2 linked regions of the Xenopus tropicalis genome follow. The protein of the gene in region 2 purifies or fractionates together with the protein of the main gene of each other region. This does not show direct contact. Links are inferred from orthologs where the notes say so. Each region holds a gene or a part of one and is shown on either strand. Other genes may lie near its edges.

The links.
Region 1: the proteins of polr2e (region 2) and polr3c purify together in Homo sapiens (affinity purification with mass spectrometry; 4 studies listed by BioGRID and IntAct, counting the BioPlex papers as one, with this or other methods). This does not show direct contact. The link is inferred for Xenopus tropicalis from reciprocal best matches to the Homo sapiens genes POLR2E and POLR3C.

What each region holds. Positions count from the first base shown.
Region 1 is NC_030684.2:141,779,111-141,783,111, reverse strand, and holds the start of polr3c (DNA-directed RNA polymerase III subunit RPC3), read right to left. Parts: upstream 2,801-4,001; 5' UTR 2,708-2,800; exon of another isoform or gene 2,682-2,707; intron 2,415-2,681; 5' UTR 2,402-2,414; coding exon 2,255-2,401; intron 2,175-2,254; coding exon 1,919-2,174; intron 781-1,918; coding exon 598-780; intron 487-597; coding exon 410-486; intron 324-409; coding exon 219-323; intron 1-218. Other genes in the region: E3 ubiquitin-protein ligase RNF115, read left to right, coding at 3,163-3,240. UniProt on the Homo sapiens protein: DNA-dependent RNA polymerase catalyzes the transcription of DNA into RNA using the four ribonucleoside triphosphates as substrates.
Region 2 is NC_030677.2:100,196,727-100,200,904, forward strand, and holds the start of polr2e (DNA-directed RNA polymerases I, II, and III subunit RPABC1), read right to left. Parts: upstream 2,806-4,178; 5' UTR 2,796-2,805; coding exon 2,739-2,795; intron 2,529-2,738; coding exon 2,354-2,528; intron 2,256-2,353; coding exon 2,140-2,255; intron 525-2,139; coding exon 444-524; intron 1-443. UniProt on the Homo sapiens protein: DNA-dependent RNA polymerase catalyzes the transcription of DNA into RNA using the four ribonucleoside triphosphates as substrates.

The sequences.
Region 1 (4,001 bases), on a different chromosome or scaffold from region 2:
GCGACCATTTTATTGCTGTTGCATCAGTGTAGTACATTGCCGCTACTTCCTGAAGGGTCGAAGGTAATGCAACATAAGGCCCAAAGTGTGCCCAGTTGTAGCAACCCATAGCAACCAATGATTGTATTTGGTGCCCATTATACAAGACCTGCTTGATTTAGGTGTTTATACCTGCCCCTTAAACTACATACCCCTCAAGGGGTTCTGCCACAAGGTACCTGGTCCATTTTATTGGAAACAGCGCTGATAATAGCCTGGTCCCGGAAGTGCTGGTGGAACCGCTCCGTGTTGACTTGCCAGTAGACGCCATCATCTTGGCTATCCTGGGCAGGGAGACCAAGGAGGAAAGGGTAAGTTACAGGCAAGACAAGAATGCAGGGCCATATTGGGGTGAACGATGAACACCCACCTCTGCTTCCTTTTTTGGTCTCTTGGCCTGACTGCCTCCATCGTCATCATCAGATGATCTGCGGCGTTTGCCCCTGCCTAGAGCAACAATAGGCACAGCATAACAAGGGGTATCCAGTAGCACCCCTTCCTACATTGTATACACCTCCGGGCAGTATCGGAGAGCGGCTGCCCCACAAGGGCACTTACCTGTCATATTTAGCTTAGGGACGATGTACATTTCCTTCTCATTCATCTGCAGGGTTGGGGCAAGTGGTGGGCGGCCCTCCGTGGCATCCTTCTCCTGCACAGTCGGGCACCGCTGCACAAAGTGTGTATCTGCCAGGTGGGTAAAGGTGGCAGAAACCTCACTGTACTCCATGCTCTTGCTGTCTGCGCAGGGAGAACACAATACACAGGGCTTAGCTAATGGGCTTAAAGCATTGAGCAGGTTCCTATTATTCCTCTACAGTACACATTCTTTGCGGTACAGTTCCCAGTTATGCGACTAGATTGTAAGCTCTTTCTGACAGCTTCAGACTTTCCCCCTATAGAACTAGACTGCAAGCTTCTAGGGGCTGAATAAATATTAACCAATTTACCAATAGATCTTATGCTATGTGGGACAGGGTGTGCCATTATATAACTAGACTGTAAGCTTCTTTGGACAGCCAAAGGGCTTTCCATTATATCACTAGACTTTAGCCCCAGTGGCTAGATTGCAAGCTCTTTATGTTAGTCACAGGGGCTCCCATTCTACCAATAGACTGTAAGCTTCTAGGGGCTGAATATTTCCTTATACCAATAGATGCTCGGGTATTTGGGATAGGGTGTGCCATTATATAACTAGACTGTAAGCTTCTTCAGACAGTCAAAGGGCTTTCCATTATATCACTAGACTTTAGCCCCAGTGGCTAGATTGCAAGCTTTTGATGTCCATCACAAGAGTTCCCAATCTACCAATAGACTGTAAGCTCCTAGGGGCTGAATATTTCCTTATACCAATAGATGTTAGGCTATGTGGGACAGGGTGTTCCATTATATAGCTAGACTGTAAGCTTCTTGGGACAGTCAAAGGGCTTTCCATTATATTTCTAGACTTTAGCCCCAGTGGTTAGATTGTAAGCTTTTTATGTCCATCACAAGGGTTCCCATTCTACCACTAGACTGTAAGCTCCTGGGAGATGAATATTTCCTTATACCAATAGATATTAGTCTATGTGGGACAGAGTGTGCCATTTTATAACTAGACTGTAAGCTTCTTTGGACCGCCAGAGGGCTTTCCTTTATATCACTAGACTTTAGCCCTAGTGGCTAGATTGCAAGCTCTTTAGGTTAGTCACAGGGGCTCCCATTCTACCACTAGACTAGACTGTCAGCTCCTTGGGGCTGGGTCCCCTATGCACACCCCTAGATTTCTGACACTCACAATATAAACCAGGGCAGCTGACAGCCAGAAGGGATGATCAGGTTGCTGGGCTGCCTATCCCAGAAGGTTGCCACAGGGCTACCCCAAGGCGGCAGTCATTACCTTCCATGGTCTCGGTCAGTCTGTCGGCCACTTTCTTTACTGCGGCGCTTAGTGTCATTTTGCCATTGAGCAGCAGCTCCTCCACAATCAGCTCCCCCGTGTCCCCGTACAAGGTCTTTGCCGTGTAGATGTAGCGCGGGTAGCGCAGTATGCGCAGGAAGCGGTCGACGTGGGCCTTGTACTCGACAAAGCCGCGTTTGTTCAGCTGGTAGGTCACCAGGTTGTGCTGTATCAGGACACAAAGGGCTTTCTTCACCTGTCGGAGGAAAAAACAGTCCATCAAGGGACGGGGACTAGTTGGGGGCAGTGCCCAGGGAGCGAGAGGGTTAAACTTGCCTGATCCAATGACGTCCCTGTCTCGTTGGCGATCACTCTCAGCGGCTGGTTGCCCGTCCGTATCAGAAAGGTCCCCACTCGGTCCACAATCTCCCCGTAATGTTCCTGCAGCAGCAGGGAGCACAGCTTGCTCTCAACCGCACTCATCTCCCGGCACCGGCTGAAACAGAGGGATAGTTATAGTTGTACTACACCCTATAATGCACTATCACTGCTGCTATCCCACTGCCAGACATATACATGACTATAAGCTTATGTCCCAACAGGGGCTGAGGCCCCTCATCTGCCCAATGAGGCCCAGGCAGTAGGGAAGCAATTGTCTGAGCCGTCAGAACTAAGGCACCATCATAAGTTATGGCTGAACTACAACTCTCAGCTCCCACAATCCTCTGCCAGCGCCTCCATGCAGCCCTAGAGTGAAACTCACACCAGAATTCTACCAACAGCACTCACATGGCTTCCGCTTCCTGTCAGCTGACACCGTCCGAACGTCACCTTGGTTACCACATAGCAACTTCCGGTATTAGTAACCCCCCCCCGTTCTTCTCTTGAACCTCCTTTTGGGCTGAGGGGGCAGTGGAGGAGGCTGATTGGAAGACTCGCTGGTGCTGGCAGGGGATAGAGCGCCGTGCGGGGTCACTCTTGCCTCACAAGCCCCGATATTGGGAGGGGTTGATTGGAAGACTCGCTGGTGCTGGCAGGGGATAGAGCGCCGTGCGGGGTCACTCTTGCCTCACAAGCCCCGATATTGGGAGGGGTTGATTGGAAGACTCGCTGGTGTTGGAGGGGATAGAGCGCCGCCGTACGATAGGAGACGTTCGTGTAGGCGAGTCGGCGGTGCTGGGAGGACTGACGTGACGCGGTTCCCAGCAGCAGCAGCCGGAGCTGGGGGAGAGCGGGTAGGGATCATGGCGGAGGCGGCAGCGGTGTCTCAGCATCGGTTCTTCTGCCATCACTGTAAGGGGGAGGTCAACCCCAAGCTGCCGGTGAGTCCCTGCGGGGGAGTGCGGGGCCCAATTGGGGGGTGTGTGGGGGAGGCATATGGGGGGCCGGGGGGGGGGCTGCTGGGCTGAGGGGAACGAAATGGGCCGGGGTGGGGTATGGTGGCGGGGAGGGGAATGTTGGGGGCCGGGGGGGGGGGGGGGGGAGTGCAATGTAAACAGTGGTTGGATGTGTGGCCCGGGGGGAGTGGGGAACAGAGTGGGGGGTACGTGCGGGGGCACTGGGGTGAGAGGGGGGGGTAGAGGGGCTTGGGGTCCCGGGGGGGGGCAGGGTTAGGGAATGTGGGGGACAGGTTAGATGTTTGGGGGGGGAGTAATTGGGTTAATGGGGGATGTAGGGAGGCCGAAGGGAGGGGTGCGGGGAGAATCTAGGGGACAGGGGAGGGGTACTGGGGTGGGAGGAAAGTATAGGGGGGGCTTGGGGTGGGATGGAAATGTAGGGGGGTGGGAGGGGAATGTAGGGGGGCTTGGGGGTGGGAGGGGAATGTAGGGGGGCTTGGGGGTGGGAGGGGAATGTAGGGGGGCTTGGGGGCGGGAGGGAAATGTAGGGGGCTTGGGGGCGGGAGGGAAATGTAGGGGGCCTGGGGGCGGGAGGGAAATGTAGGGGGGCCTGGGGGCGGGAGGGAAATGTAGGGGGGCCTGGGGGCGGGAGGGAAATGTAGGGGGGCCTGGGGGCGGGAGGGAAATGTAGGGGGGCCTGGGGGCGGGAGGGAAATGTAGGGGGGCCTGGGGGCGGGAGGGAAATG
Region 2 (4,178 bases):
ACACATCCTGCCTATCATTTGCTATTAGAGGTACCGAACTACAAATTCATCCAGCAATCGAGCTACAAATGCAACATATTGGGAGTTTTAGTTTACAAAGTTATGGTCAAATGTAAAATCCCTGAGCTATCAGAAATAAACAGTACAGAACTTAATAAAGATGAACTTCTAAACTATATGGACTCACAAAAAAAAAAAAAAAAAGATTTTTGTGGGAAGGTGATACTGTTTATTGGTTAATTAATTTTAAACGGTATCATGTTACCACCTAAAATCTTTTTTCTGAAACTATGGCTAACACATTACAATACTCTGCTGCTACTCATCAAGAAGGCACCTAACGTTCCCATGTGCACCCACCTATTACATGTCAGTGTGTATGGATAACAGAAACGTTTCAGTATGAGTGAAAGTGTTTCTTCCCCTTCTGTATTAAAACTCACCTCATGCTCTGTGATATTAATCAGAAGCTCCTGTTGTAGAAACTGCTCCAGAATGTATTTGGGTGCCATATCCACCAGGGACTGCAAAATAAAGAGATTGCTATAAAGATAGGAAAGCTGGCAGAAGCTTTGGATAGTATTTATTATGGACTAACACCATGTAAACATTTTACTACATTAACTGATAATTTAATAATTAAAATATTTTTTCAGATTTTGGCAGTATTTATCCTATGCATAGGAAACAAGGTTTCAACTGGATTGAAGTCAAAAGGGCTCACTTACAAGAAGTAGGTGCAGAATTGCCAATTTTTTTTTTTAACGTCTTTATTATGATTTAGCATGAAAAGGTTACATTCATATTTATATGCAATGACCGGTCCATCCTCTTTCCTATATCATAGGAGAGAAGGTTTATAGTTGTCCTTTACCTTTCCATCAGGCAAATAAAGTGATTCGATCCTGTTTTTAGAAAACGTGGTAGTAGTATTAAGTAATAATCATACAATATTAACTAGTAACTAATTAACTAGTAAACGTCTGCCTTTATCTTACTTGCCAGAGAACATAAAACGGTAACCTGCTTATACTTGGATAATATGACTATGTTAGTTCATCAGCCAGAATTGCAAATTTTAAACAGCATACGCATATGACCTGCACCTACTTGCACCCAAGCCCTGTGCTTAACATCTGGTTTGACCTGGTGTTATGCAGACCCAGGCTGAGATTCAAAATAGGCCCTAATATTTCAAATACACAAAGGCCCAAACAGCAACTGTCTGTGGGATCTTACAGCAGTTCCTCTGGCATTTGCCAGAATCCACAGACTGGCAGTCTGGGCCTGGTGTTAAAGGAACAGTAACACTAAAAAATAAAAATGTTTTAAAATAATTAAAATATAATTTACTGTTGCCCTGCACTAGTAAAAGTTGCGTGTTTGCTTCAGAAAGACTACTATAGTTAATAGAAATAGCTGCTGTGTAGCCATGGGGGCAGCCATTTAAATTGAAAAAAGGAGAAAAGGCACAGGTTACATAAGAAGATACCAGATAAACTGTGTAGAATACAATGGGAATCTGCTACTTAATTGTTATCTGCTTAGCAACCTGTGCCTTTTCTCTTTTTTTCAATTTAAATGGCTGCCCCCGTGGCTACACAGTAGGGTATTTATATAAACTGCAGTAGTGTTTATGAAGAAAACACACAACTTTTACCAGTGCAAAACAATAGTATATAATATATTAATTATTTTTATACACTTTCATTTTTTGGTGTTACTGTTCCTTTAAGCACTGGGCCTCCTTATGCACTCATAGCCAATCAAGGTTGTGGAAGCTGAACTGCACATGACTGACAACCATGTAAGTGTATGCCTATGCTGCAGGAAGGATGCTGCACTGAGGGGTAATATGGCAAATTGCACTTTTTTGCATTTAGCAGATGAGATCTATAGTTTTAATAATAGGTGTATTCCTTTTTAAAGAAGGGTCTTTCAAACTTATCCCATTTTTAAGATAAAAAATAAAGCTTAGGTGTCTTTTGCCAGCAAAACATACAAATCACATAGAAAATTAATTCATCGGAGTAGTATATATTTTATCTGTACATTTTCATTTATAAAAGCTTTGGATCAGAACTGCAGTTCACCCAGTAAGTATGCTTAGGTAAGGTGCACGTTAGCTGGCAGAATTACCTGTTTGGCAGATGGGGTCATTCCCTGCTGCACCACGATTAAAGCCCTCGTAATGTTCTCCTCCTGCATTCTCTGGCAATACATCTTAATTGTCTTAATGCCAACTTTGGGTTCCTCTACAAATAAGACAGGCAAACATGTAATAATCCTTTGTCTGCATGTATAGACCCTTCAGCCAGTCACTGTTTTTTTTTTTTTTTTTGCACCTACTCACCTGGGAAGAAAACAAACATTTGGTCTGTGGGATCATCATTATGAGCTACTAATACAGTCAGGTCAGTTCGGCGAGGGCGCCCTTCGCTAGGTTTGTCCCCAAACTGGGCTTTAAACTCATCCAGTGTCTGATCCAATTCATCCTGCGTTACTAAGTAACCACGGTCATGGCACAGCTGGCGAAGGAAAGAAGGATGCGAGTGAAACAGGTAATATGGAGACAGATGAGGTAAAGCACAAAAGTAAAAGTGACAGGGACGAAGAGTACAGTAGAAGTATATGCTGGAAGCAGAAATGAATGGTACCCAACACAACGTAGCTGAGTTCGAATTACTGAAAAAGGCGAAGATTATAACACAAAAAGATTTAAAACTCAATTTTCTCACCTGCATAATAGTTTTGCGGATCTTCCACAACCGGTAAGTTTCCTCCTCATCGTCCATGTTGTCTCCACGAGACCAAACAGGAAGAAGAGCGCGATTTCCGGAGCTCGGCTCCCTGGGCTGCAGGAGGACCCTACATGGGCTGCCCTCACTCTGCCTGATGGCTACAAGCGAATACTGCTGTGGGGTATCTCTGAGGACGTGTTATTAGCTTAAAACTGCACTGTGGAAAAGGAATAAAGTTGCGCATAATATCGTTTCCCTTTTTTGCTGAAGGTGGCTATTCGGGTTGTAGAATTTGTTCAAGTTTCGGTATCACGCTAAGGAAGACCAAAGAAATTGCATCGTCGCAGTTGAAGGGCTCGGCCATGTTTGTGGTAGGCAAGAAGCCGGCGTACATGTTCTTGTAAAGATCACCATTTTGTTGGTGGGTATTACTACCGTTCCTATATTCATCGTCTTCGTGTATTTATATTGCGTCACATAGTTACATGGCGCTCTGCATTAATATTATAAGTGGCTAAGTTTAAGAGTTAACCCTCTAAAGGTATAGGGATTAGTTATTGGCAAAAGAGGGTGTGGTAATGTGCCAATGATAGGCTAACTACAAGAATTACGTAAACTAAATATTCTTTAGAAATACTTGTTAAACTGTTTTAAGGCGAGCAGTGTTTTATTAAGATTTTTTTTTATTTTTGCCCCAAGCCCCATTTTGATATATAATATTATCTTTATGTATGTATATATATTTTTATTTATATAGCACTACTTATGTACCCAGCGCTGTACAGTAGGACAATAAATGAATAGAATAAACGGGACTATTACAATAAAATAAATACAAAGTATGATAGTAAATACAAGGTAAGGATACAATACGTTAAATTAATACTGTCACGGGAAAAACGTATTTTTTAAAAACATATCTGTTAATAGAGCGTCTCCAGCAGAATCCTGCATTGAAATCCATTTTTCAAAAACACAAACTGATTTTTTTTATATTTAATTTTGAAATTTCACGTTGGGCTAGCCATATTCTTCATTTCCCAGGGTGCCACAGTCATGTGACCTGTGCTCTGAACTCACACTTTACTGCTGAGCTGCAAGTTGGAGTGATATGAACCCCCTCCCAGCAGCCAATCGGCAGAATAATGGGAAGGTAGCAAGATAGCAGCTCCCAGTAGATCTCAGAATTGCACTCAATAGTAAGAAATCCAATTCCAGCTTGTGACTCCTTCAGTTATATGGAAGTAGGAGAAACAATAGGTTATCTGAAAGCAGTTCCAATGTGTAGCGCTGGCTCCTTCTGAAAGCTCAGACTTGCACAATGCTGCTTATAGACCAATATTACAGCTAAAAAAATACATTTGTTGGTTCAAGAATAAAATGTTAAATGGTAGACTGAATTATTTGCTATGTAAATAGTGTAATTCAGAAATAAAA